Linked DNA regions of Drosophila melanogaster. The protein of the gene in region 1 interacts with the protein of each later gene in a pairwise test. Each region holds a gene or a part of one and is shown in the gene's direction. Other genes may lie near its edges. The genes, in order: Dus1, CG34149, eIF2D and gdrd.

The links.
Region 2: the proteins of Dus1 (region 1) and CG34149 interact in a two-hybrid assay, tested with the Drosophila melanogaster proteins (one large-scale study listed by BioGRID).
Region 3: the proteins of Dus1 (region 1) and eIF2D interact in a two-hybrid assay, tested with the Drosophila melanogaster proteins (one large-scale study listed by BioGRID).
Region 4: the proteins of Dus1 (region 1) and gdrd interact in a two-hybrid assay, tested with the Drosophila melanogaster proteins (one large-scale study listed by BioGRID).

What each region holds. Positions count from the first base shown.
Region 1 is NT_033779.5:266,924-276,225, reverse strand, and holds the start of Dus1 (dihydrouridine synthase 1), read left to right. Parts: upstream 1-4,481; 5' UTR 4,482-4,597; intron 4,598-4,599; exon of another isoform or gene 4,600-4,911; coding exon of another isoform or gene 4,912-5,565; intron 5,566-5,619; coding exon of another isoform or gene 5,620-6,768; intron 6,769-6,836; coding exon of another isoform or gene 6,837-7,034; exon of another isoform or gene 7,035-7,138; intron 7,139-8,720; exon of another isoform or gene 8,721-9,302. Other genes in the region: CG17078 (uncharacterized protein), read left to right, coding at 1-907, 975-1,279; CG11555 (uncharacterized protein), read right to left, coding at 1,575-2,240; mbm (mushroom body miniature), read left to right, coding at 2,592-3,671, 3,720-4,259; CG3345 (uncharacterized protein), read right to left, coding at 4,912-5,565, 5,620-6,768, 6,837-7,034.
Region 2 is NT_033777.3:22,375,849-22,383,697, forward strand, and holds CG34149 (uncharacterized protein), read left to right. Parts: upstream 1-4,279; 5' UTR 4,280-4,318; coding exon 4,319-4,353; intron 4,354-4,407; coding exon 4,408-5,290; 3' UTR 5,291-5,405; downstream 5,406-7,849. Other genes in the region: CG18596 (uncharacterized protein), read left to right, coding at 187-1,356, 1,413-2,062, 2,121-2,306, 2,369-2,932, 2,996-3,517, 3,586-3,756, 3,818-3,965; CG43342 (uncharacterized protein), read left to right, coding at 5,581-5,676, 5,737-6,183; Gpdh3 (Glycerol-3-phosphate dehydrogenase 3), read left to right, coding at 6,377-6,420, 6,482-6,656, 6,715-7,294, 7,357-7,510, 7,564-7,656, 7,711-7,849.
Region 3 is NT_033777.3:29,147,687-29,156,287, reverse strand, and holds eIF2D (eukaryotic translation initiation factor 2D), read left to right. Parts: upstream 1-4,493; 5' UTR 4,494-4,598; coding exon 4,599-4,998; intron 4,999-5,056; coding exon 5,057-6,348; 3' UTR 6,349-6,392; downstream 6,393-8,601. Other genes in the region: Rpn2 (regulatory particle non-ATPase 2), read right to left, coding at 245-1,552, 1,615-2,557; Slbp (Stem-loop binding protein), read left to right, coding at 3,149-3,304, 3,366-4,040; Pglym78 (phosphoglyceromutase 78), read right to left, coding at 6,553-6,719, 6,782-7,279, 7,736-7,838; CG11882 (uncharacterized protein), read left to right, coding at 8,234-8,337, 8,408-8,601.
Region 4 is NT_037436.4:14,689,418-14,692,462, forward strand, and holds gdrd (goddard), read left to right. Parts: upstream 1-1,929; 5' UTR 1,930-2,011; coding exon 2,012-2,353; 3' UTR 2,354-2,545; downstream 2,546-3,045.

The sequences.
Region 1 (9,302 bases):
TCCAGCGTAACGCCATCAAGTGCAAAGAGTTCTGCTCTATTCAAGGAGTTCTCGATACCCTGGAGCAAGGTGCCTGGGGACATAATGAAACTACTAAAGGGAAAGGGGAGTTTGGGCAAGCGGTTGAATACACTTGCGAATGTTTTGGTGGAGGCTCTCCGTGAAATATCCGCCCACATTCCCATACGGATTTTCCGGCAGGTCGCCCAACAGGCGGCTGAAAAGTACCCCGACTCCTTACTCGAAAAAGACCGCGAGGGACAGTTTATAGCCACCACTCCGCAATCGCTCATATCCAAGATGATCAACCGTAACAATGCCCTAAACAAACCCCAGAAACGCGGCAGCTCGGGAACCTTTGAGATCCACATCCCTAATAAAAAACGAAAATTCGGAGGTGGTGCTTCCAATGGTGATGCAAAATCGCTGGCTCTTAACAGGGATCTGGAGCACAAAAAGGAGTTACTAATCTCCAGCTACCGAGGCAGTTCCCCACTGGAACAGTCCGTCATAATCGAATATATGAAAGAGTGCTTTCCGTTGCAGCGCTCCTTTTTTAATAACAGCGAAAAGATCCCAGATATAACGGCCATTAAGGACAATTGGCCATATATTTTTGACAAGGCTGTGCTGTACCAGCACTTTGAGCTGCTTATGTCCATCGATCCCCGGGCTCTAGAGAAGCGCTTGGCTACCGAAAAGGATCGCTTTTTCAGGTTCTTTAAGAGTTCAAAGAACAAGAAGATCAGCTCTTTGGACGAGACCAACGCTAATTTCCTGCGTGGCATAGCGTACTATTTTAATGAGGATCCCGACTACATTTTCAAGCACCTCGAGAACAGTTCCCTTAGCAAGGAATCACTGCAAAGCACGAATCCCACAAACGCCCCCTGGGTGGCTCTAGTCAGTAAGTACACAAAAATTAATATCACTAAAAGTGTTTAAATACTTTTAAAATATTTATCTTCCCACAGATTCACCCATAACAACGGCCGACGGCGTGGAATCGCAAATGGAGGCGAAGGTCTACATTGAAGGCCAGATAATGGCCACATTCGCCGCCAAAGACGAAGACCTGCCGGACATTCTGGCCCAGTTAATCTGCTACTACTATACCTTTAACATGATGTACCCTAAGGAAGCCAATCAAACACTCGAATTTATCGTCGTTTACTTTCTGCAGCACTCGCCGGAACAAGTGCGATCGGCCAAAAAGTCTGTGACCACCAACGGCAAGTTTAACCACCTCATCGCCAAGCTTGCCAATGTACATGGCTGAGATTTCATTTGGACGATTTTTGGCTGGAACCATGGCGCAGCGAGCGCCACTTCAATCTCCTCTTGCTCCTCCCAACGGAGGAGGAGCCGAACTCTGTTTAGTTTATTTATTTTCGCCGACCTATTCCACATGTATTTGTACCACTATTTTTAAGATTTGCATAAAGTGTGTAGTAATGTTGTGTATACATTTCTGATTTGTCACCCGACAAAGAATCTTTTATTTATTTTTTAATTGAAACTTCATGTTTTGCCAGTTGGGGTTGTGAAGTCACCTAAGGGAAAATAAGCTAAACTTATTCATTATGTGGCCCTTTCTGAAACGGATTTCTCCTATTTGGTCCCTTCTTTCGATAAGGATGTGCATTATCTCGCATTTTCTGAAAGGGATGGCTACCCTTTGCTTCTTTCGCATTTGATGATTTCACATTTCGACGTGTATGATTCGAACGTTCTAATTCGAACTTGTCCTTTGTCAGCTGTCTATATTTCAAGTCCTTTAGGGCAGATTTAAGTGTTGCATTCTTTTTCGTTAAATTGAAACCCAAAGTGAGTTGCTTTCGGAAAAAGTTCCGCTCCTTAAAAGTGAAGTTCTCAACGTCCGTGGAGAGCTGTTGTTTTCTTTCCGTGGAGGGCTTCTCATCGTTGAAGGGCTCCCATGTAGTATCCTGCGACCGGTTGGCTTCTATGACATTTCGACGGTGGTTCTTCTGACGCTGCTGCATGAACTGCCTTGCGTCCTCGCTGTCCACATCCTGGTGTCCCCGGTCCGAAGAATCCGTAATTATGTCGTTCTTCACATGCTGCCAGGGCGTCGCAGTAGCTTGTGGAACGAGCGCTGGTTTCGGTTGGACATACTTCTTTGGCTTGAACTTGGTTTTGCCCCAGTCCTTGGTGCGGCTCTGCAATTGACGTTCATGGCGATCATTATCTTCTGTTTTCTTCGGATTGGTAGAATTCATAGCGTTGTTATTTGTGGTTAAACTGAATATCGTCCATCTGACCATCTGAGGTGCCAGTTTGAGAAACTATCGAATCTAGCTATATATGTTAAATCTTATAAAAACCTTCCATTGGTCACTTCACATTTTAGTCCATTACATGTATTATGTCACATATTGTCACAGTATTATATATATATATTATATTATATATAAGGTATTCAAACTTAATATACATATAATGAATAGCAGTTTTGGCTTGAAAGAAGCCACTTCGGCAGTCCCACCAACAATCGGATCTTATCGATAACCCCAATCGGCTCAACACGTGCGCCGCAACTAGGCGGTTTTATAAATATTAACAATTCCATAATGCACAACAGTGGAGGACAATCCGGCTGGAACCTTTCAGGAGAGGAAAGAAAACCGTTTTCGAATTACGGCCGCAACAATCAGCAGAGGCGCAGCAGTGGAGGCGGGGGAAGAGGCAGCCACAGCCAAAATCGCGCCGCCAATGGAAACTGGCCAGACGCTGGATCGGAAGGTGGGCAGAATGGAAACGCGTTTAACAAGTTCAGAGATCCCCAACAGGAGCTGGATAATCATCAGCCAAACAAGAGAGGGGGCCGAAGAAATAGAGGCGGTGGCGGAGGAGGTGGTGGTTGGGGTGGCAGGCGAGGGAACCGCGGCAGAGATTCCAATAGGCGTGGTGGCCGTAACAACTCGTGGCAACCTAAGGATCAGCATGTTAGTCCTGGCCAAAGTAACATGCTGTACTTCGATAATGTGGGGGACTTTACCGAAGACCCACCTCTGCCTCGATCCTCGCCTGCTCCCTCCTCTCTCAGACAGGAGAGCCTGCCACCTGTTACTTTCGCTGCGGACTTGACGCCACCACCACCTGTATCTGTTGCACCACCTGATGTGGCTGTTACGCCAGAAGAACCTACTGTGCCGCTAATCAATATCAAGAAGGAGAAAGAAATGGAGCACAAGTCAAAAATAAAGCAATTTGTCAAAGCGGAGCCCAAATCTCCTAAAAAGAAGAAGGTTAACTCCTCTAGGTCGTCATCTACTTCGGGAGAGGAGTCTGAACCCGAACCAGGGGAAATGGTAGTCAACACTAAGGCAGTGGTGGTGCCGTCCCCAAAAGCGAAGGCCATCAAAACACCTGTAGCATCAACTCCGAAACCAAAGGCTGTAAAACCAGTTTCGTCCTCCGACTCCTCAACTTCGGACAGCGACACCGATGATGAACAGAGTCATCCGCCGGCAAAGAGTAAAAAGATGGAAAAGAACACCGAGGAGGATGTTGTCTGCATGGGCTCTCAGGAGCGCCAGTTTACCATTACCGATGAGGAGGAAAGCACCGAACCTGAAGACGACAAGAAGGCCAGAAAGCAAAAAAACAAGGGTAAAACCGTGGATGTGTGTGGCATATGCGACAAGAAGGTAAATATTTTAAAAGAATGTTACCCAATTTAAAAAAATCTCTTCCAGGGCCACACCTCCTTCCAGTGTCAGATGATATGTCGTAATTGCTCCGGTAGTTATCATGGTCTCAAAAACTGTCCAAACCCGCCCAATCTAAATATTGCCATCCAGTCGTTTGTGGAGTTTGCCATGCAGCAAATGACTGCCTTTCATTGCGAGCAAGGATTTGGATTTCCTGCTGGCACAGTCACAGCTCCAGTTTCAGCAAAACCCAAAAAGGACAAAAAGGCGTCAATAAAAAAGATAAAGAAGTCTTCACAGAAAAGGATGAAGGTGGAGCCGAAAGATCATGACGAAGAAGATGACGAGGAAGATGACGACGAAGATGAAGATGACAGCAGCGAGAGCGATGACTCGGAGTCCAGCGAAGAGCCTCACCCAGCTCCTGTGTCCAAACAGAAGCGGAAACGAGGCACCAAAGCCTCCGTATCGGCCGCAGCCAGTCTACCTCCTCAAGTGTTTCCATTTCCCCTTCTAGGCGCCCCGGGCGCCCCTTTTAACTCCATGATGTATTCTTATAGAGCTCCGTTTAATTTTTCTAAATAGTTATAGCGTGAGTTAGTTGTAAAGGAACGTGAAAGATAAATACATTTTCAATACCAATGGATTTAGTTCTTTCATTTTAATATTTACGGAATTTAGGAATTACGCCTCTGTTGTTTAAAACGAGAATGAAGTTGAATTAATTTTTGTACAATACATACCGGGGAATAATATCGATAACCAGGGCAGACCTATTTATCGAAATGTATCAGCCGACGCAGCCCTGGTTTTGTGTTTTGCCAGCTGTTGCTTCCACGCTTTTGAATAAAAAATCAAATTAATAGTGTTTACTAGGAAAAACGTATGAAACTCAGTGAAAAAACTTTGCAAAAAACTTTTGGGTAAGTGTATTTACCTAAATTTATTGGTTTTCTACGATTAAATCTCAAGAGCTTTGAGTTTTTAACTAAAGGATCCAGGTGTCTGATTTTTAAAGTTATACTCAACTTATTTATAAGGAAGCATTTTAAACGATAAAAGAAAACATAGTACATAAATTTAGGACATCATATTGAAAATGAATATTCCTGGACTCTGAAGTATGTAAGTGCCTCGGAAACGAAATATACAAGTAATTTTTAGGGCTACTTCCCGCCAGAGCTAAGGCATCCTGCTTTAAGATCAATTTTCCTTGCCCTGTCTGCTTGACAGGATCCTAGGGTATGCAGAGAGCCAGGGTCTCGCGTTCCTGCTCGGTGCCGCAGGACACTGGGTGATTCTGGCCCCGGGGATCGATGCCTGGCTTGAGCATCGTCTGCTGCAGCTCCCAGATGATTTCACACGACTGGACGCTCACGGCCAGCTTAAGCACCGACTGATAGTTGAGCGGATTAACCGCATAGCTGAGGATACCCCTGGCAATCTGCTCGAACAAATAGTTCCTGTCAAGCAGAAGGAGCTCCTCTCGTACCTCCATCATACGGTTTTCAAAGTGGCACTGAATCGCTGCAAATACCAGCTTGTCCAGACCCACCAATAGATCCCGCTTAAACTTCACCAGGTAGTGCTCTATGAACACGATCTGGTTGCGATTTAGATGCGGCAGGCGCACCTTGTCCTGTATTACCTGTTCGCCGATCTGGCTGACAACCAGAGAGGCTAATGATCCCGCCGGAGTGGCCCGACGTTCGCTGCACGGGCGGACGTCCACGAACGGATGAATCTCGTAGCTGCCCACGCCAATGGTGCTGGCTACACCGCTAAATGATACATGGGAGGCGCGCGAGTGGTTTTTCGGCTGTTTGGCCATCGACGGAGGCACTTCCATGGCTTTGTGGTCTCTGGCGAATCCAATGATCTGATAAGCTTTCTGCAGGCGGAATGAATTAGTGGTATGTCAAGAGGGACTGCTATTAACACTTACGTAGTGCACATATTTCTTTGCATCGCAGACAAAATCCTTAATGCGCGAGATCAGCACCTGCAAGGCACACTCATCCTCGCTGAGATCGTCGTTTAAACCAGAAATTATGTAGTCCAGTATATATTGTGCCGCCTTATAGATGGGGTCGTCTGGTGCGAAGCTGAGAGCGGTCTGACCCTCCATGGCAATGGCTGCATTCAAGGCGTAACAAAGATCACTGTCTAACAATCCCTCAAAGGTGGCCTGATACTCATCGCAGAATGATGGCTTGCGTTCCTGAAGTGTCGACTTCTTCTTCTTGCGGCGCTTTCTTTTGGGCTGACGAGCAGTGATGGCCTTTTGAGCTCTTTCCTTAATCTCGTCCTGAATCCGTTGCCACTTTTCTCTGTAATGAGCCTTGTGCCTGTCTATAAACGCCTCTCGCTCTTTTTCCACCTCCTGCAGGAGGTATTCGATCCTACGCTGATTAGCAATTCGCTCATCAAGTCGCTTCCTCCACGACTGAATCTGGTGCTCAGTGTTCTTTACCAGCCGTTGTTTCCTCAGGATTCGCATGTTTTTGTTGAACCGATCCTTTTTGAACTGGAAGAGCTTCTTCTGTTTGATCAATAGCTTTCTCATCAAATCCTGGCACATGCTTATGTGGGCAGCTACACGCATGTTTGTCAGCATCTTGCGGTGCTCCAGCAACATATTCTGCATGGTGGCCAGGTTCTCTAAGCGCTTAAACTTCTCATATGTGATATTCAGCAGATGGACCTTTCTTTCGTGGCGTTCCTGCTCCTGTAGTTTCTTTCTGGCAAGAACCTCCTCAGTGCACTGGTGACGGGCTGCGAGATTCTGGTGATCCTTTTTTGTGATGGACTCCGCGTTGGCGATCAGCATTCGATCATATTGCTCCGACTCGCGCCGCTTGTATGCCTGCAAAATGTAGTACAACTGCGATTTGTGCAGCTCCTGGCGATGCTGATTGAAGTCCTTCAGATTGCATATTACATCGTTGTCCTGCGTTATCTCACCGTTTTCCCTCAACCGCTTCAGATTACGCTCATTGGAGTAGAACGTCTTTAGGTTGGAGTCGTGTAGCGGATTGTACTCCGGGATGTGTTCGGTAACGGAACACTCAAACTCCTGTTTACCGCTCTTGAACTGGTGGATATGTATGAATGATGATGATAAAGTAAGGTTCTAGCTGATTTTCTACTGGTAGCACTTACGTCCTGTCCGATCTTGTTCTTGGAGAATATGACCTGATTGCCGGGACATTTGAGCATTGGCAGCTTGCAATTAAGAGGGATCAGCTCCCATCCGGGTAGACTGTTGATGGGTAGTCCAGTCTTGTAGGAGATCATCTTTAGCAGGGCCGGGTTTCCGGACACCTTATTTCGCCGCGGCAGCGACAAAATATCGATCATCTTGTCGCTCTAAACTTACAGTAGCCTAAATTATTTGTGCTTAACATTTACTCTCTGAGCGTTCCAAGAAAACTAATTTCGAACAGTGCCTTATGAAAATGTAGTAGCCCCGCCTACTTTAACAATATTCTATACTTTTTCCCTGCCGATTGTATATTGACTTTAGTCAATAGTTTGCAATATAAAATATATATATTCTTAAGCAGTCTCAACAACCGTTTTATAGCTATCTGCATGAATCTGTGGTCCCATCCTAAGAGGCCGAATCGGGATCGAAGCTGTCATTACCCTGGCTCCAGCAGATTCCAGGGCGTTAGTTCGGCTTACATAAATCCTCGGTTGACTATCCTCCTCAATATTTCGCTGTCTCTATCCGGGCTTATGTTCCACCCGCTTTTTCCGACCGCTGACCCAGTTTGGCGTCCGTGGATGATTCTAGATGCGGGCATCTCGGGCATAAATATTTACCAATCGTTCGGTCCGGCGCCAACATGTCTGCGTAGGGCTTTCCTTGGAAAAGAACACCCACTCTCACTAGCCGTCTTCCATGTAAATAAAATCACATCAAGTGCTGAAATGTACTTGCTGCAGCACGTGCTCCAAATATTCTCTCGAGTGTACTTTCCATTTCATCTAACACCTAGGACACCCCTCTTACTTTCCGACCCCGCTGCCGATGGAATAAATAAAAAATGATGGTGGCATCCGAAAACAGGCAAACTTATGCTGGAAAATGAAAGGTGCGTGCCAATCGCTAGCGGTCGTCTGTGTTCCTATTTCCATTTAGCGTTTCAAAATAGTTACTTCCTCCTGTGATATGGGTCCCTAGGGATGGCTGCGTGAGTCATTCGGCTAAATGGCTAGTTAGTTTTGGGAATCAAAAGTAGTGCTTTAACTTTTATTGAGACAACGTTTATAGACATGTGGTACACACAATGATAATATAATAAGTGGCAGGCTGTTTACCACATTCGTTGAATGCAACTAAGCAGACAGTTATTAACAATATGTCTTGGCCACATATCAATTCAGGCCTTTGACTTGTAACGTAAATTCTGATATAGAATTTTAAGTAAATTGAGTGTGGGTGCCCTTTTTCTTAAAACCCCCTTGGTGGGCCAATGAAAATCCTCTCCCGCTAATAATTTTCCTATGACTTACAATACCGGCAAAACCGCACACAGCTGTCCTCAACTCTCCCTTTCACCCTCCTCTGGTTGCTTGCCACTATAGATTGAAAAGCGTCGTCGTTCAACTGGTAGGCTTTTTGTTTTCAATCAGACGAAGCTTTCGGTTCGGTGTTTGAGAGCGACTTCGAACCACGGGAGAGAAATTGAGCTTAGAACACTAGCTTACATAGTTCACTGTTTTTTAAACCCATCTGTTTCTGTTTGACAACAGAAAAAAGCAACTCCGTTGCTTTAGCAATGCGAAATGGTCGTCAAACCTGGTCGAACATAAGGGAGCACTGAAAAAAATTCTACTTGAAAATGTAAATGTAATATATTATATAAAACTTATACGAATTTATGGAATTCAGCATTATATATAAAGAAGTACGTTTCACTACAGTTTCCACTATCAGTTTTGCACTTAATGTCGTTATTTTTCTGAGTGCTGCAGCACCGTTCGTTTTAAATCAACGATACGAGCTTCCAAGTTGGTTACTCTGTGCGGAGTTGTTTCGTTTGGTCGCGTCGGTCGAAGGAGTCGGTTGTTCGTTTTCGTGCGCTCAAGTAACGGTAAGCGCGAATGCCTTCGCCAGTTCTACTGTTATTTTACCTCGGGACGGCTATGCGTCCCTGCGTCCCTGCGCTTTCCTGTCTCTGTGTATGTGTGGGAGACAAACAAATAGCAAAACGAGAAGGAAAACCATAGAGAGGAATTCCGCAAAAAGGGGGGTGGCGAACATCCTGTTTTTCTGCGCCCGCTGCCAGAGTAACCACCCCCTCTCAGGGACGACAACAACAAAGTGGACTTAAGCGAAAAACGAAAATAAATATACGTACGAACCTATAACTGCGCCATTTGTACTTCGCAACAACAAATGAAAATATATAACTATAAAATTGTGTGTATGTGTGTGACGGACGGAGAGAACAAAATCAACATAAAAAACTGTTGTGGAGAAGATTATTTATAAAAAGCTTCGTCCGTAAAAATAAGCCAATCGAAGGATGCAATATTAAATGGCAGGCAAAGTGAAGTAGTGCAAATTTAAAAGAAGACAATAAAAAGGCAACAACATTTAATTGGACTCTAAAGCTA
Region 2 (7,849 bases), on another chromosome or scaffold:
CCTACAATTGATTTCACCACATGATGAAGATAATGAAATATTCGATATTAATCGTATGCAAGTGATTTCACCACATGATGAGGAATGGCGAAATTCTAATTCTCCCAGCTGCTTGATGTTGACAGTATTTAAACCAAACAAAGGGTTAGTTTAGAGGGTTCTTCATCGCGAGAAAAAGGTACTACCATGTCATTGCCCACGACCAGAGCCACCACGGCCACGACCACTCACGCTGTGGTCCAGGCTGTGGAAACGTATATTCAGAACCAGAATTTGCTTGGCGAGATCGCTGAGCTGGACGACATGCTGTACGATTTGGTGTCCATGCACAAAGACAACGAGCTGGCCCTGAAGCGTGTGCTGCAGTGCATCCACAACCTGTTGCAGACGAACAGCAAGTATAACGTCCGCTTTGGCCCAAAAGTTTTTCACAAACTGGTCTCCGTGGTGATTGCCGACAGTCGTGAGGATTCGGCCAGCCGGCGTCAACTGGTGGCCAATTTACTGGTCTGCGTGCAGCTTCATATACGGAAGTTTCCGCGTATCGAAGCCAAGTTCGTGCTGCAGCAGCTCTGGTCGCTGAGTCAGAGCAATGAGCGGCAACCACATGCGGCCCAGATCCTGGTACACCTTTTCGATGATTTCGTCAACAACTTGGGAACGGAATGCGCCCAGGAACTGCTTGTGCTAACGCGGAATCTTCTACAGTCTGATGTGCGCGATGATCGACGCTCAGCGTATTTTCTTATGCACAAGCTGCAGGAGATCGACGAAGTGCTTGCCGCTCTCCAGTGCAGTGAGGTTCAGTGGAGCGCGTATGTGGGCATCATGGAGAACCTCGAGGAGCAGCAGTCCCATCTTGTGCTGCCCACTTTAAGCACCCTGCTGCCGCGCATGGGCCTGATGTCTAACAATTTGAGTGAGGATTGGCTGGATTGGCTAAGGATTCTGTGCATACGCCTCCTGGGCGACAACAACATCCTCGTGTTGCGCTGGACCCTGAAGTACTTCCTATCCCATTTTAGCCTAGAACAGATATCGCGTTTCAATCTTCTAACACAATTCCTTGCTGCTACCAATCGGACGCAATTGTACAATCCAGAGGTGCCCGATTGCCTCACTAAGCAGCAAATAACTGATTTTAGTGCACAATTCCCGGCAGAGATATTGCTGGAAGCGCTTGTCTGCGTTCCGTGGCATGCAGTTCCCCTGATCCACTGGCTTCAAGCATGGGAGCTAAAGCAGCTGCCGGTGGTTTCCAAGGAGCTGCTGTTTAAGTTGGGCGCTCGCGTTCGTTCCCTCCAAAATCCGGTTTTGCGTGGTGAAGCCATCAATTATGTGATTTTCTCCTTAAGTGTAAGTTTAACTTATATAGAAGTTTTAACAATTTTTTGACTTTAATCCCATTAAAGGCGACGATTGACAGCCTGTCATTGGGAGATTACCTCCTCTTCATGGAGTCTTTGTACAATACCATCGACCGGTATCAATCTCATTCACAACTAGCACAGAAAATAAGAAATTGCAGCAATTTAGAAAAACATATTGCTAGTTTCAACATTCGTTGCTGTGAACTTGTATCTCAAATGGACTATAAACACGATGTATTTGTTGCGTTCTTGGAGAAATTACGAACAGTTCCAAAATCCAAACATGGCTGGTGGCGACTTTTACCCATATTTCTGCATCGGGAACTGGATCATCCAGAACAGTATTTAGATTTCTATCGCTCTGTCTATGATTTAGATACATCTTTTCTTGAAAGTGGTGTGAGTCTAGAGCAGATGCAGCAGCACCTTCTTAATCGATTGGATTGCCAGACCAGAGAAGAGAAGTCCTTTGTGCTCGAGCACTCTGTGGATCTTTTCGTACAGATAAATCTTCCAACGTGGAGCAAGTTAGAAGTACTTAACCTAAATCCCCTGGAACTTTTGGATCGGGGTACTGAAGAAACATTTGCCACCTTGTCGAATATATTGTCCACGCATGATGAACAATTGGCTGACCAAAATGTATTGCCCGCCTTTATATCCCGTTTGGGAAAACTAAAGGTCAGGGAAACGTGAGTAATATATTCGCTATATTTTTGTAAGTCAAGTTATTAATTCATTGATTCCCAGACAAGCCATCCTAAAATATGCAGTGCAAAATCTTTCGTCAGAAGAGTATGAAAAGTGCGTAGTGGACGTTTTGGAGAAAAACACCTTTCTTTTGGGTACAATGGACTGTGAAGAATATATTAAGGCACCCACCTCGTTTGTTATAAAAAGAATGCTGCAGGGAGAAACCACTACTGGCGATGCACGGCAAGAGAATAAATATTTTTTTCGTGAAATTACTATATACAACGTTAATAATAACTCCGCAGCATTGAACGCGCATTTGAGCAAATCTCGGATACTGGAGCCATGGATCGTGTGCAATTTATTCAATATGCGAAGAACAGCACTGGTTTGGATATCAGCTTCATCTGTGACGATTTGCTTAGAATGAACAATGAGCTGTCCAGAAAAAAACCACGCTATTTTGCAAACTGCAAAGAGCACAGAATGAAAATGCGAATAGGCAAAGCTTTGCTCGACCTAAGCGACAGATGGAAGTGGTCGGACAACCTGTGGGAAGCCGTCTTGTGCCCTAGCGATCAGCCTAACATTAGCTTTATGTACGAGTACCTTGTCTCCAAAATGCTGCCAAGCATCGATCTATTGCTGGAGCAGTTAAAGCTACTGGCAACTCTAAAACCGAGCCAGCAAATTTCGCTTGTCTCTGTAGTCCACATATACTGCTTGACTCGCTGGGAAAGCATACAACATGAACAGCTTGTCGAAGTATTTGCCGTCCTGTTGCCTCTCACAATGGGAGCAAATTTTCAGACTCGTTTGCTGGCCCAATTGGTTTTGCATCGGATTTGTAGCGAGTGCGAGGATCGAAGGTAATGAAATTAGTATTATATACTACTTGTTGCCGAATTTTATTAATATTTTGATATTTTTAGCATTCAAATGCCAATAGCTGATGCATTGAAGAAATCCATCAAGGTTACATTGAGCGAAAAATTAACTGAGTTTCAGTGCGAAGCTCGACTTTTGTTACCAGAACTAGGCAAACAATGCCCGACATCCGTTTCGGATTGCATTCTGATGATGACGAATGCACCATTTGATGAAAACATCAGTTTTATTAGTTGTTCCTATGACTTTCGAATGAAACTAAAGCGCGCCCTTGAAACGTTTAAACGGAAACAATCGGTTTTGATACCTGAGCTTGCAACGTCCTTGGCTGCATTAAACGGAAATGTGCAGCGAAAAATGAATCCCGTCGGAGATATATATCCGGAGAGTGACTTTGTTGTTTCGAACAAAGCTAGAGATGACCACGAACTCATTGTGGTGGCCTCGCTCATAGACAAATTGCCAAATCTGGGCGGATTGGCGCGTACCTGTGAAGTTCTGGGCGTTAATACCCTAATATTGGGTTTAAAATCACAGGCGGAGAAAAGCGATTTTACAAACTTGAGGTATGCACGTCAAACATCGCGGTAGCCCTATTATATTGCTTTATATAATTATAATTATATTATTTTAGCATGACTGCTGAGAAAACTTTAAACATACTTGAAGTGAATCCAGAATCGCTTGCTGGATTTCTGCTGGAAAAGCAAATGGAGGGTTATAAAATCGTTGGCGCCGAGCAAACTGCACACAGCACAAACTTTGTTGACTTTAAGTTTCCCAAGAAAAGCATTCTTCTTTTGGGGTTCGTAATCAACATCTTGGGCGTATTTTTTGAAAACTTATTGTTCTGCATCCCTCCTCAGGCATGAAAAACATGGAATACCAGCGAACCTTATTGGATTCTTGGACTACGCCGTCGAAATTCCCCAGTATGGCTTAGTGCGCTCTCTAAATGTACATGTGGCTGGATCACTATTTATTTGGGAATATTGTAAGCAGCACTTAAATTAAATTCATAATTTGACCACCAACAAATGCCTTTAACAAATAAAGTAAATACCTAAAAATATTGTACAAATGTTACTATATAAATGTTTTGTGTTGTATATATCTTAAAAAAAATACACCCAAAATAAATTACCTATATAAACTTAATTGTACTAGCTATTAGTATTATTTCTATTTTTTTAAATGTGTTTGTTTGCCTTCGGTGAATTAATCGAAGTAAATATAATTCATTCTCTTAAAGTTTCGCGCCTTGTTATCGATAACCAGTATTTACCGATGACGCTTGCCTGAAACAGCTGATCCTATAATCACAACATCACAACAAACCCATTGTAAACAACTTCGAAAAGACGAAAATGAGCTTCTCGGAAAACACCTCCGATTCTGAATGGTAAGTCCTTGAGGCCGGAAACTCTCAAATTCTATACGAATGCTTCGCTTATAGGAAGACAGACAAAATGCTAAAGGCGCGGACTGCTAAGAAATCTTTAAAGCTGGACAAGGAGCACAGAACTCTGAAACCTAAATATAACCAGAAGTTCTGCGAAAAGTGGCTCAAGATTTTCGATCCATGGCTCCGACGGGCGGCCGAGGATCCTAACAAGCCATTCTGCCGCGCTTGCCAGTGCACCATGGACTGCAATCGATGCCACCTGGTGCGGCACGAGCGAACCACCAAGCACAAGCGCAATCTGGAGGCTCTGCTCACAAAGGGCGAAGGCGCGGCGGTCCAGGAGTTCCGGATTCGCCAGCAGCGTAGCAAGTACTATCACCAGCGTAAATTGGTAGTGATGGAGCCCTTGGCTGAGAACCACGAGTTGGAGCCGCCTTCCACTCCAGAGCCTATGCCCGTGATGGCCATTGCTGATCAAAGCCTCTGTTCTGCAGCCAGTGAGAAGGTGACAGTACCCAAACAGGAGTTCTTATCAGAGACAGAGGTCACAACAAAGATGACCGAACCCCCGTCAAGCCATGCCAATTGCAGTGACAGCTCCTCTTCTGCCTCTAAGCAGGAGGGCATAAAGTTACTAATGCAGATCCACCAGGACAAAAACGAACTCATGGAATCCTTCCGCGAGCTGATGGGAAGCCAGAGGACCCTAAGTCACACACCGCCGCCCAAGGAGAAGAATCATGTGGATCTGTTTTTCGAAAGCGTCAGTTCCAGCGTGAAAGCCCTCTCGCCAAAGTTGGTAGCGGAAGCCAAGATGCGAGTATCGCAGCTGATCTGTGAGCTCGAGCTTCGCGGCCTCAGTGAAACCAGCCAAACGGACGCACTGAATCCAAACCCTCAAGCTAATGAATCGCTCGCACTGCGCCCATCATGACAATCCCTTGTCCTTCAGCATGAATTTAGAGGCATACATTAATTTTAAATTTAAAAATAAATGTTATCGATTTTTATAAGATCAATGCAAATATACTTTATTTGTTAGATATACGAATCAAACTATTCAAAATAGGTGCGAGAAATGGTATCGGACTGTTTATCGATAGGCTAGAGGCTACTGCTACTGCCATCTCCAAAGCGCGGCTGTGTTTTCTTCCAATGTTTATTAAATTTGAAGCAGCTAATGCAATTTAAAGGCTTAAGTGACAAAATATTCATAACATAAGAATGTGGAACACTTCAAATGTGTATGATGAAACGACCTCTGAAAATGGCGACAACGAAGAGCAGAAAGCTTCATACATTAAAGAAGATCATATAGAGGTATAATTACTAAGTTGCCCTTAAATTTACAAATATTTAAACGAAATTATGCATTTGCAGACCGAGAGGAAAAGTTTGCTACTCATCAAACGGAACAACGTAGCCCTACAGAAAAGACAGCTACCCTACTCAAGGCCAACGCCGCAGAACCGCCAGGAACTTGTCGAGAGCATCGAACAAGACCGTAAAGTGCTGTCGGCGTACTTCAAAAGGTTGAGCTCCCAGCGAGATGAAGTCACTTCACCAAATGCAGCTCCACCGGCGGCTGATTCCCCTGTTCCTCAGAGAAACAGCTACGATCTTTTCTTTGAGAGCGCCTGCATCAGTGTCAAAGGCTTGCCACCCAAACTGGCGGCGGAAGCCAAGAGCCGCATCTCCCAGATAATCACCGAGTTCGAAATCCGCGCCATATCAGAAATGGAGGCCCAGCAGGAGCACAAAATGCGGGCCCAGAACAGAATGGATAATGCGTCCGGGGTTGTTTACGAGTTTCGTCCCTGCTCGTAAAGTAGGTTGGGTGTTTGCCTTTCAACTACCTTAACTCATCCTATACACTTCACATTTGGACGCCACCTAACTCTGGACTATCAAAATTCATAATAAAAATTTAAAGCATTCTACATCCAGTTAACACTTAGGCGGTCATTTGGTCGCGTTTCGGCCCTAAATTATTGTTGTTCGTTAATTTAAAGTTGGATCAATGGCCGGAAAGTTGAAAATATGCATCATTGGGGCTGAGGGCTGGTAAGTTCTTTCAATTACCAAGTCTAAAACACATTTAACTGCTTTCAAATGGCTTTTCTAGGGGCTCGGCCATTGCCGCCGTCGTGAGCAACAATGTCTTGGAGGGAGACTTCGACAGCCGGGTGCATTTATATGTCTACGATGAAATGATTCGGGACACTGCCCTATCGGAGATCATAAACACTCGTCACGAGAATGTCAAGTATCTGCCTGGGATCAAGCTGCCCAATAACCTGGTAAGGAAATTCTTGCAGTGTTTTGGTATCTGCATTATACAAAATATTTTTGTATTAGATCGCTGTAAATGATCTTTTGGAAGCTGCCCAGAACGCAGATATCTTGGTATTTTCCACCCCGCTGGAGTTCGTGCAATCCTACTGCAACATTCTGTCTGGTAATGTTAAGGAGTCGGCCTTTGCTGTTTCCATGACCAAAGGATTGTTGAGCGAGAATGGGGAGGGGATTGAGCTTGTTTCGCACGCCATTAGCGAGAGTCTGGGTATCCCGTGCTACTCTATGATGTCTGCACATAGTGCCATGGAGATGGCACAGGGAAAGCTGTGTGAGGTGACCATCGGTTGCAGCGATAATTCTCATTCCAAGCTGCTGATCTCTGCTATGCAAACCAATAACTGCAGAGTTATTTCTGTTAATGACGTTGACGGAGTAGAGCTGTGTGGAACGCTCACAGACGTCGTTGCCTTGGGAGCGGGTTTCATAGATGGTCTGCGTCTGGGTGAGAATGCACGGTTGGCAGCCATCCACTTGGGTGTCAAGGAAATTATGCGGTTCATTAAGACGTTCTTTCCTTCCTCCAAAATGTCCACATTCTATGAGAGCTGTGGCGTAACCAACGCGGTGGCTTCCAGCTTTGGTATGTACAAAGAAAAATGAATCAATTAATAAGTGTATAATATCAACTGCGCTAATTTAAAGTCGATAAAAACGTCACATTTGCAAAGAGCCTAGTAACATCAGGCCAAACCATTGAAGAAATAGAAGCAAACCTCCATAGTGGCCGCAAGCTTTTGGGTCCCATGGTGGCCAGTAATGTGAATGCATTTTTGGAGAATGGGCTTATGCAACACGAGTACGTATAAACTAGATTTTAAGACCCTAATAAACATACTTCTAAAACTATAGATTTCCGCTTTTCACGGCCATCCATCTTATATGCCAAAGTGAGGCTCCGCCGGAACTGATGATAGAGGCACTGAGAAACCACCCGGATCTAAGGTAAGAGATTTTAATGTTCAAATTACCCTTAACTCATCATTACTCCTTTTACAGCAGTTCATCCATTTCACATTTACTGAACCATGAAAGGGACGAGCTAAAAACGGACCAAGGCCTTCCCGAACTGAGGACTGCTTTAGATAAGATATTGACGGAGGCGGGGAACGAAAACATTAAGCAGCTCAAGGTTATG
Region 3 (8,601 bases), on another chromosome or scaffold:
TGCCTAATTAGAAAGATCTGGAAAGGACGATTACTAATTATAAATCAATTCCTACAAAAATACCTATAGTCGTTCGCTTAGTTAAAAATGGAATATTTATAATTTTGAGTATCTACTAATCTTATCTCGAAGCTTGGCGGGAAAACTACGGAAACCAATGTTTAATAGATGCAAATTAACAAACTAATTAGCTTTTCAATATAATTGCATAAATAACGAAAAGGGATCGTGTTATATTGCTTACCCTGAGCCAAAATGGCACCGTACTTCGCCATCACATCTTCGTGCTTGTTGCTAATGACCTCGGCGTACAGCTGACGGAAGAAGGTGGACTTGGGACAGCTCTGGTCCGTGTGCTGAATCAGGATCATGGCAGAGGCGATCAAAGCTCCCTGGCGCACAAAGTTGACCGGATCGAACTTCACCATTGGCTCCAGCAGGGCAATGGCCTCACGCAAACCTGTGCCGGCACAGGCGATACCAAGAGCCATTGCGGCTCCGTAACGAACGTGCGGGTTGTAGGACTCTGCCAGAAGGCTGACCACAGAGGGACACTGCTCCGGAGAGCGGAACAGGATGAAGCCGATGGCTGTCACAGCAGCACGTCGCACATCATCATTTACGTCGGAGACGGCCACGTGTAGCAGCTTGCGGATGGCCTTGTTGCTACCAGTACCATTGTAGGCCATAGCTATGGTGTACATTCCCGAGCGGCGCAACACAGGATCCTTGTCGGAAGACAGGCTGGTCACCAGGGGGTCGGCCTCCTCCAAACGAGAGAACATTGTGAGGGAGATGCCCACGGCTAGGCCGCGTAGGATCTTCTCGTGCTGCGTCTCCTGCGCATACGACACCATGTCCTCGATGGCCTGGGCGTTCTTGGAGCCCAGCATGACCATACCCATGGCAATGCCCGCCGCCTCTCCGGTAACCGCGTCATCCTGATACAAATTAAACTTCAGCTGCTCATACAGATCCTGGCGATGGGTGCCCATGCCAGCGAGACCTAGTCCCAGGCAGCCGCCATGACGCACATTCTCGTTTTGGGCATCCTTCAGCTGTTGCAGCAGGTAGTCTATAATGTTAGCTCCGTGATTCGCATGGATCAAGCCCAAAGCATAAAGGGCACCACCCTCAGAGTAACCAGAACTTGGACCGGCCTCCTTTGGCAGATAGCTCTGCATGAGAGCCAGGGAATCCTTCTCGTGACCCCGATGAATTACTCCAAGCGAAGCGGTTGCCGTCAGCTTGGCCCAATTCGTGGCCCTGGCCAGCCAGTCGAGGTTGTCGCGCAGGAATTGGTCGGAGGTGGTGCCGCTGTGCATGAAGGCGTTGGCAATAACAGTGGCTGTGTGGCAGATAGACACGCGGACCGCTTCCTTTGTGCCTCGAAGGACCTGCAAATCGGCGTGGTTGCTGCGGATGAGGAATTGGAGCTGTAGGTCGATGGAAACCTCGCCGGAGAGGATCGATATGAGCTTTTCAATGTTCTTCTGATGCAACTTTTCAACCTCGTTAAGGGAATCGATTGTGCGCTCTACTTTATCATCAGCTAGGTGAATAAAATGCGATTTATAAGTATTTTAAGGGACTGGATTAGAAAACCGGGTTTACCTGGCGTCTCCTCTGTGATATCCTCGTCAGACTTGGACTTGTCTCCCTCCGACTTGGCACCATCCTCGGAGGTGGTACCCTGGGGCTTAAATGTGCTGGGGAGGGCGGTTGGGATAGGAGCGGTGTTTTTGAGGTGCTGCAGCACATTGCCCAGAAACTCTTGCGTGGCCGACTCGTACAAATCAAAGGCAATCTGATAGGCCATCAGATTGTTTGTCTCCACCGAGGACCGTGTGAGGTTGTCCAGCATCTCGGCTACGGCGAAGGGGTCCTCCAGGAAGATGAGGCACTGACACATATTCACGTAGTCCGGCACACCCAGATCACGGTACAGACTGACCAGACAGCGCAGCACCTCATTGCGGAAGCCACGGTTCTGGATGAGGGACATGGTCACGTTGTAGGCGTAGGCCAGCATGCCACGCACATCGTCCGACTTCATGATAGCGTCCTTGAAGGTGTCCATGCGACGGGTCTCCAGAGCGATGCCCAGAGCCTGGCGGAACTGGTTGTCGTCCAGACAGCGCTGAATCATCCTGTTCACAATGCCCTCCAGCCGCTCGTCCACGACACTCGCCTCCTTAGGGTTCTCGATGAACTCCACCCGCTGGGCAATGTAGAAGTCGATGCACTTGGCAATGATGGTCTCCGTGTACTCATTGCGGGCATTCACGTCGAACAGATCACCAGCGCCCAGGGCGTACGTCAGAGCGTCCTCGAAGGAGCCCAGGTGATAGAACACCTTGGAGGCCACCATGCCAGCTAGCTTGTTTTCGGGGAAGCTGCGATCCTCGTGCAGCATCTCGATCTTCTCGATGGACTCCGAGATCTCCGGCCAGAACTCATCCACGATGTTGTCCAGCTTTTTGAGGGCGAACACCTTAAGATCCGGCATTGGCTCATCGAGTAGGGAAATTATCCCCGCGGCGGACGTAAGACTCATTTTCCAGCTGCGTTGTTTCCAGTCAAAAATATGTTCTACGGATTTTAAAGTGACGTATGTTCAACTTGGGCTCGAAAACTTTACGTTTGCTATGAAAACAAATCGTTCTTTTGCGTACTAACCAACAATTGCACCGTTTTAATTTTCAGTTTTCTTTTGTGCCGAAAAAATGCTAAATCACTCGGTAAGCAGACAGTGTTGGTAATGGTTGGTTGCTCGATGTCTTGCTATCGATGTGTACCGATGCATCGATATTGTTTGAGCCTCCCTCAGACAATTTAAAAATCGCTGTTAATTTTCTGTATGTTTAAATATGTATTGGACATCAAATTTTAACAAAATTGAAATGAAATGTAATACATTTGGAGCATAGTTTGAAATTAGTTGTGAGTGACCAGGTTGTTCTGTGTTGTGGTACCTTTTTGCCGCCTTCTTACCACCTCCACTTCTGGGCACACTGAGCATCGCATCTACAACAAAAAACGCGCGAAGGTTTGCGCAGAAAACGCAAAACACCGCCGCGACAACATCCTGGAGCAGCGGACCGCATCATACACAGCACAGTAAACAAACGAAAGATAATTGCACAACATGCTCTGCGAGGATCAGCACATGTCCGTGGAGAACACACCGCAGAAAGGCTCCGGCAGCCTGAATTCCTCAGCATCCTCCATTTCGATCGATGTGAAGCCCACCATGCAGAGCTGGGCCCAGGAGGTCCGCGCGGAGTTTGGCCACAGTGACGAGGTAAGTGAAGGTTGGCTGCTACGATCGGGAACACAATTAATTCTCTTGTTTGCACGTGCAGGCCTCCAGTTCCTTGAATAGCAGCGCTGCCAGCTGCGGTTCCTTGGCCAAAAAGGAGACAGCCGACGGTAATCTGGAGTCCAAAGATGGCGAGGGCCGGGAGATGGCATTTGAGTTCCTGGATGGCGTCAACGAGGTAAAGTTCGAGCGCCTGGTCAAGGAGGAGAAGCTAAAAACGCCCTACAAGCGCCGACACTCGTTCACGCCGCCCAGCAACGAGAACAGTCGCTCCAACAGTCCAAACAGCAGCAACTCCTCGGCCAACGGAGATGCAGCTGCGCCCAAAGGCGGCAACAATCCCCATTCGAGGAACTCAAAAAAGTCTGGCAACTTCCGCGCCCACAAGGAGGAGAAACGGGTGCGCCACAACAGCTACACGTCCTCCACCTCATCGTCATCCTCCTACACCGAAGCCGATCCCGCCATCCTAAGTCGCAGGCAGAAGCAAATAGATTACGGAAAGAATACTGCCGCCTACGAGCGCTATGTGGAAATGGTGCCAAAGGACGAGCGGACTCGCGATCATCCGCGCACCCCGAACAAGTATGGAAAGTACAGCCGCCGCGCCTTCGATGGGCTCGTGAAGATCTGGCGCAAAAGCCTCCACATCTATGATCCACCTACACAAGCGCGCGACACGGCCAAGGACAGTAATTCCGACTCGGATTCTGACTAGGATCGAATCTTGTTACCGGGCCGGGCTATGTTTTTCAAATATCGGGGGTTTAACTACTAATTTTTATTTCAAGTACAAAGTTAAAACTATGAATCAAACACGCATCTTCGAGTCACAAGGCCGTGTACGGGGAATTGTTACGCAGATGTTTTGTTGAATAAAATGGCGTCTTACAAGATCCTGGGTTTTCTGTCGTTTGCTACCTGAGGAAGTCCTTGGTGATTCGAAATTTTCCGGACCGCCGGCATTTTTACTGCGCGTGCTGTCCTTGTAATAACGTCTGCTCTTAACTAATTTTGATTTAGGGTAGAGTTATTGTGAAAAGAAAAGACAGGACTCACTTCTTTATTTTATGTTAATTTCTTTTTCTGCATCTTATTCTTATGTTTCTTATACTTGGTTTTAGAATATCGAATCCCATTGATATTTTTTTAAATATACAAACTGGCGAGAAAATAGCTAAAGCAGCACCCCCGTTTGCCAGTTGTTTGTTTTCACTGTGCATGTGCCACTCCAAACCATTTCACGAACTCCTCAAGTGCACACCACCAAACACAGATGTTTCTCAAGCCGTACAGACCCAAGAGCAGTGCTGCCCTCAAGGGATCCGATAGCAAGAAGTTCCGGCAGCGCGTGGAGGCGGCGTTCCCCCATGTGTCCGTGGATCAGCTGGTGCCGGCGAAGGCGGCGGTGACCCAGGTGAAGATCCTAACGCACGGCGGTGTTCAGAGCATGGTCTACTGCGTGGACAAGTTGCCTTTGTTCTTCGAGCTGGACGGCGGTCAACTTGTGCCCACCCTGTACACCCTGTGGATCGTTCCGGACATCCTGCCCTATTTCACCACCCACGAGGGTGTGTTACCCAAGCTGACGAACGGAGCGGATCTCATGCTGCCCGGAGTGGTGCCCCTGGGCGTGGGACTGAGCATGTACGGGCACTTCAAAAAGGGACAGTTGAGTGGGTATCTGCTTGGGATTCCCCAGGTAACGAGTATTGATCTCATTGTCTTTTTCAGTGGCCGTAAACCTCACAAACAACAAATCTGCGGTGGGCGTGGGCCAGTTGGCTCGCTCCAGCGATGAACTGTACATGTGCGGAGGTCACGGTGTGGCCATCAAGATGCTCCACCTCTTTGGGGACAAGCTCTGGTCGCATGAGCCCAGTCTGGTGCAGCAAATCCCGCTGGTCAAGACAAAGGCCTTGTCTGGCGAGGATTTCCCTGCTCTTGGGTCTGAGACGGAAAGGAGAAAGACCGCCAGCCCAGCTACTCCCGCTCCTGTGACCTTCGCTACGGTGGCCCAAACCGAGGAACTGGAAACGGAAACTGCTGCTCTGACCTTGGAAAGCCAGGAAGCTCCCGAGTCCGACGAAGAAGCCGTGGAGGAAGCCTCACCAGAACTTATACTCAAGAATGCCTTCCTCTCCGCCTTGAAAAACCATGGAAAGAAGCTGCCCCTGCCTCTGCTGACGAGCAATTTCTACAGACTCTATGTGGTCACGGAGGCCACGGAGCAAATCGACCTGAAGAAGACGCGCTACAAAAAGCTCTCCAACTTTCTGGCCGAGATGGTGGACCAAGGATTCATTGTGGTGCGGGAGGAGAGCAAGGGAGTGGATAAAATCACATCTGTGGACCTGGAGCACCCCGAAGTGGTGAACTTTATAACCGATGTCAAGGCAAGCGAAGCTAATGGAGCGGCGTCCGAGACGCCCCTGTTCCACTCCGAGCTGAAGGAGATGTACATAGTGACCGATGTTACGGCGGCCTTCTTCACCAAGCTGAATTACAAGCGCGGCGAGGGAATCCCGGCGGGTCAGATCAAGAAGATTGTGCGGGAGTACGTGAGCAAACATGGTCTCCTCCATCCGCTGACCAAGCTGGTGCGCCCCGACGACACTCTGATCGAGCTGTATGGTAACAGAGAGGTTTCGCTAAGCGAGATGTGCTCCCTCATCACCAGCAAGATGGAGCACTCCTACCAGATGTGCAGCGGCAAAGATACGAGCGGGAAGCCCCTCATCCAGATGTCCCTGGCCACGCGATCGGGCAACAAGAAGGTGACGCTGGTCAGCAACATCGAGGCGTACGGCATCATCCTGGCCGAGTTCATCAAGCTGTGCAAGCAGGGAGCCGCCGCCAGCACCAGTGTGGTGAAACTGCCGCACCAAAAGCACGAGCAGCTGCAAATCCAGGGCAACCAGGTGCGATTTGTGCACACGCTGCTCACGGAAACGTACAAGGTGCCGCCCAAGTGCATCCTGGGCCTGGAATTGGCCAAGGACGGCAAGAAGAATAAGAAGAAGTGAGCCGGACAATAAATGAAGCCTCCTCCGCCTGTCCTCTTGAGTGTAATAATAAATTATTTATTAACTGTAGTGGGGATGAACCAATTACTGCTACGCGAACAACAACAACGAATGGGATTGGCTACATCTTGAACAGAAGCGTAATCAGAATGCTCTGACTTGTGCCGTATTTGAGTGGATTCTCATGAGGTGTGGCCTGCGTGCTTACTTGGCCTTGCCCTGGGCGGCCACAGCCTCGATGGCCTTCTTCACGGTCTCCTCGTCGCCGAGGAACTGCATGGACACCACCGGCTTGAAGTTCTCGTCCAGCTCGTAGACGAACGGAATGCCCGTGGGCAGATTTAGGGCCATGATGGCGTCCTCAGAAAGGTCTGGATTGGACAAGGATATGGTAAAAAGATGATATGATATATGTTATGTCTCCCATGCTCACTGTCTAAATGCTTGACGATGCCACGGAGGCTGTTGCCGTGGGCAGCGATCAGGATGCGCTTGCCCTCCTTCATCTGGGGAATGATGACGTCGTTCCAGTAGGGCAGTGTGCGTTCGATGGTCAGCTTGAGGGACTCGAACTGGGGGAACTCCTCGGGCTTGGGACCCTCGGCGTAGCGGGGATCCTTGACGATGTTCTCGTAGTACGGATGGCCCGGCTCCATCGGTGGTGGCGGGGTGTCGAAGCTGCGACGCCAGATCTGCACCTGGGCCTCGCCGTACTTGGCGGCGGTCTCGGCCTTGTTCAGGCCAGTGAGTCCACCGTAGTGGCGCTCGTTCAGGCGCCAAGTCTTCTGGATGGGGATCTCCTTGTGGCCACTGGCCTTCAGGATGCTGGCCAGCGTCACCTGGGCGCGGGTCAGCACCGAGGTGTGGGCCACATCGAACTCCAGGCCGGCATCCTTGACGGCCTTGCCGGCGGCTAGGGCCTCCTCCTGACCTGTTTGGGCAAATGTTTAGCGAACATTAAGTATACGCCGTGTTGGGTAACGAACGTAAGCCAATTTAATCTAATTGAAAGGCATGCGTTTAATTTAATTTGATTACTAGGGTTAAAAAAAGGCGATAACCTATCAAATTATGCTCATAAGCATAATCTGAACTTTAGAAACATATGAGATGGCAAATTTTTGACTTTAAAGTGTAACAAACTAGAATTTTGATGCTTCTGAAAATTGCACTGGAAAGCTTTTGTTTGTAGAGACCTATTTTTATCACAGAAAAGTTTGAATGAGATAATGTTGCACTAGGTCAATGAAGATTAATTTGGGTAAATGAAAAGGAATACTATTGTGAAACTGATCAAAGCAAAGGATCATCGATTGGAAACTAGATGTACATCAGATTTTTAATCCCACATATGAGGTTTAAATTTCAAATTGATGTAATCACTCACCCTTTTCGCTGAGGTTGGCGTCGTACCAGCCGCAGAACTGATTCTTCTGGTTCCACTCGGACTCGCCGTGGCGCACCATCACGATCTTGTACTTGCCGCCCATTTTAGCTGCGTTGATCACTCTGCGGATAATTGTGTACTCGTTCTTAAGCTGCCGCCTTGCTGCGACTGCAATATGTGGGAATTCTGCTGAAGTTTGACCTACAAGGGAGCCGTCCAAGGTCGCAGCTGTCAGGCCGCGATATTGCCGTTCTGTTGGAAAAACGTAGTGCGCAGATGCGGTGCCTTCTCTGATTGGACTCCGGAGTATGGTCTTATTGGAATAGCGCGTCAAGCTACCTTCAAATGTCCAATTAGTTTGCGCTGTGCAACAGGTTGGCATCCCCCGCGCAGATGTTATCGCTCGCGTTTGTCATCACTATATTCGTGTTTTGGTTTTTAAATTTGGCTGTTTTTAAATTTTGCTCCCATAAATTCCAACTTTTTGTCACTTAAAGCATGTGCGAAAAGGTCACCGCGCGCTGCACTTGGCCCCAGCTGTCGGGCAACGGGCTGGACCAACTGGTGGCCACCCGCTTGTCCGACGAAGACGTCTTTGTGAAGTGAGACAAAGGATTCCACGCCCCGAAACTGGTTTTTATCAAGTAATTTTGAAACCTCCTTTGTCCGCAGGCCCGACTTGGACGACGTGATCGACGAGAATCGCGCCGTGCTGTTTTCCATGCAGTCGGCGGATCCGCCGCCGCCTTGTGAGCTGCGCTTCCAGATCCCGAACCGCTTCAAAATCGCCGCGCTCACCCTGATTTGCAGCGCTCCCAAGGTGGAGCTGTTCATTGGACCCTTGCAGGAGTACTGCGAGACCATCT
Region 4 (3,045 bases), on another chromosome or scaffold:
CAAAGGATGTGGCGAAATGGGAAGGAAAAGCCAGTAGCAAATGTCAATGTCTCGCTGAAGTGAATGGCTTTCACCTCCCAAGGAGCTGGGCGTGACCTTTTCACATTAATCTCCAGCTTGATGGCGTTTTAATGCAGGAAACTCAACTATAACTATATGGTTATTTATTGTGATGGGTCTGACAGATGTTGTTCCTGATATGGGATATGGTTTGTGGAGAGCCAGAGCCTAACGAACTGGGAAATGGTCTCTGAACATTCAATTATATCATCAATTAGTTGGTCGTGCAACATGTTGCAAGAGTGATTTGGACAGCAGATTAGGCAACAGCATGAGACCACTTGGCATAAACAAGGGTAGGGATTTAGAGGGTTTTTTCATATGTACATCTCTACTAATTTAGATTGATCGCGAGCTGTTATTTTAAATATTTAATGTGAAATATGTGCGTAAAAAAATGTCGATAAAACTCGTAACGAGTTTTATGTTATGATTCTGTGAAATATAAAAAACAGAGCTTTAACTGTTATAACATATAATGAGTTGGGTATTGTAAATATTAAATATTAAACGTATGGCTTTCTTATATTTCTTAATCAACTATTTATTTATTCCGAGTACATTTTATTTTTAATTTGTAATTTAACTTCAGTGACAGGATTTCTTTACAACATTTTTTCACCAGATTCCTACACTTATTTACAAAAACTTAATTTATCCCGTAGTTTATTACGCCCGAAGATACAAGCGAACAAACTAGAGCGAGCTGAAAAATGTTGCCTACTTAGCAGCGCAACGAGTTTTCAATAGAAAGCCCATAAAGTGAAAGACGTCGCAAAAGTCAAAGCCTTGCCACAAGCCAAATGCCAAATGGCATTATCAATAGAGGATTCAGCGAATCCCGGAAGATATAGAAAGCCAAGTGTGTGAATTTAACTTGGTGCAGTCATGAACATGCATTCGCAGCTACAGCTCCATATATACATCTTAGTATGTGTGTAGTGCCATGCCATTTATTCCATTGAACAAAAAGTCATTTGTAAGTGTTTTTATGCGTAACGGAATTTATGAGGAGCAGTTCCTCAGCAGATTTATTGCTTTATTACGATGTGGCAGAGCGATGGGTATCAAGATGGGAATCCAGTTTGGCGACAAAGGCCAGAGAAAAATAAAGAAATGGCTGGCAAATATTTAGCACATGGAGGCGAAAAACTCACTGAAAGAATGATGGCAAAGAGCCATGGGAAAAGGGGAGGGTTAAGGGGAAAATGGCGAGAGAATGAATGCTGCATTTCCTCCCTTTTCGGCTTTTGTCTCTCTTTTTCTGCGTACGGATTTTCCTCGAATGGTGGCGGGCTGTGGGTGGAACGGGTGGACGGAATGGGGTGGACCTTGAGGGCGTTTCACATCGTCGACATCGTCATCAGCATCATTCTCATTGCAGTCGTTAAGTTATAGACTTTGATTTCGTTCGCCTCGTTCAGCTGTGGGGAAACTTTTATCCTCACTGCCACCCAAAGTGCGTCCTTTTTGGCAGAGTCGTTTCAGAGATTTATTTGCCTTGTGCCCTGGCAACTTTCGACTCTCGACATCCATATCCGTATCGTTTGCTCTCCTCGCTCTTAAATTGCTTTAATTGATTTCTGATTTTATGACCCTGCTGAACACATTTCACACATGATTACATGCCAAGTGGGTTGCGATTTCTTAAGAGGTTTTAAATCCGTCTATTCTTAATTTTGAAGATAATTAAAACGTTGGTTTTAAATAAAAAATATAGTTTGATGTGTCGCTTAATTAAAAATGTTTCAACGTTGTGACCATCTACTCATATTTATGGAGTTTGGATTAATACTATTGTTTATTGTATAGAGTTACTATATCAAACATGCTGCTCTCGATTTTGTTGTCAGTATAAATTCTGTCTTTGATCTGTTTGCACTTAAGTCTGTTCTAGTTCACAGCTCCTGAATAACTATTGAAATTTCTGAAATATATTTTTTTTGTCAAAATGTCGGACGACGGATCTGATATATTCCAAGACCTTGAAAGCTACGAGCCCTATACAGAAGGTAGCCAAAACAATAGTGACGAAGCAACTGCAGTGGGGCCTCTCGATACCTCTGAGGACGCTCGCTTCTCCGAGCAGGTATTCTCGAACATTCAGGAGCGTCTGAACCGAATCATTAATCGCATTAGCATGGCCAACTCTGCCGTGGTCCAGATGAAGAGGAAGCTCCATGCTCGAATTCCATCCGTACCTGTTGGCGAAAACGCCGACCAGTTGGCTGGAGGCGATAATCCAATGCGATTTGAAAACGTCGAACAAGAAAACGAAACCACCAACCAATGATATAAGAACATTTTTATATTTCTCATTTTCAAAAATGTATAAATTTATTGTATTTATTTATTGTTATTGTTATTGAAGCCCATTTAACAAATCACAAACAGACCCGAGTTAATTGTTAAAAAATTATGCATTAACACAAGCCAAGGATTCGAAAACTAAGCGCATATAATAAACTGAGCAATGAGCAAAAGCAATACATTGTATACTGCCCTTATCGCCATAATCTAAACTATTTTCAACGATATTTGCAATTTATTAGTGGCCCTCCACACACAATTGCCAAACTTGCTTTCATTCGGTCCACAAACTTTGTGGACTTCTTTTCGGCGCATAATAAACTTTTCATTGACCGCCCTTCAAAAATGTTACCCCAAGCAATTTCGAGCAGCTGCATATTGTCAGGGGGCCTTTTGTTTTGTCGAAAACTTTGCAAAGTCGGAAAATTTGAGACTGAAATTTGCATTTGCCTTTCGCCACATTCACATAGAAAGACGAATTGCCTTGGAGCCAAACAAATATGTTAAAAGCAATAAATAAGAAAGGACATTCTTCAAGTTCGTCGTCTGCCGCTCGAGATATTGGCAAAACGTATTATATGCGATAAATTTCGACAGAAAGCTGAAGTCCGATACTTATCAGTGGAAATGAAGCCAAACATAATTTGCCATAAAATGCCGTTGCAGCGGCATTAA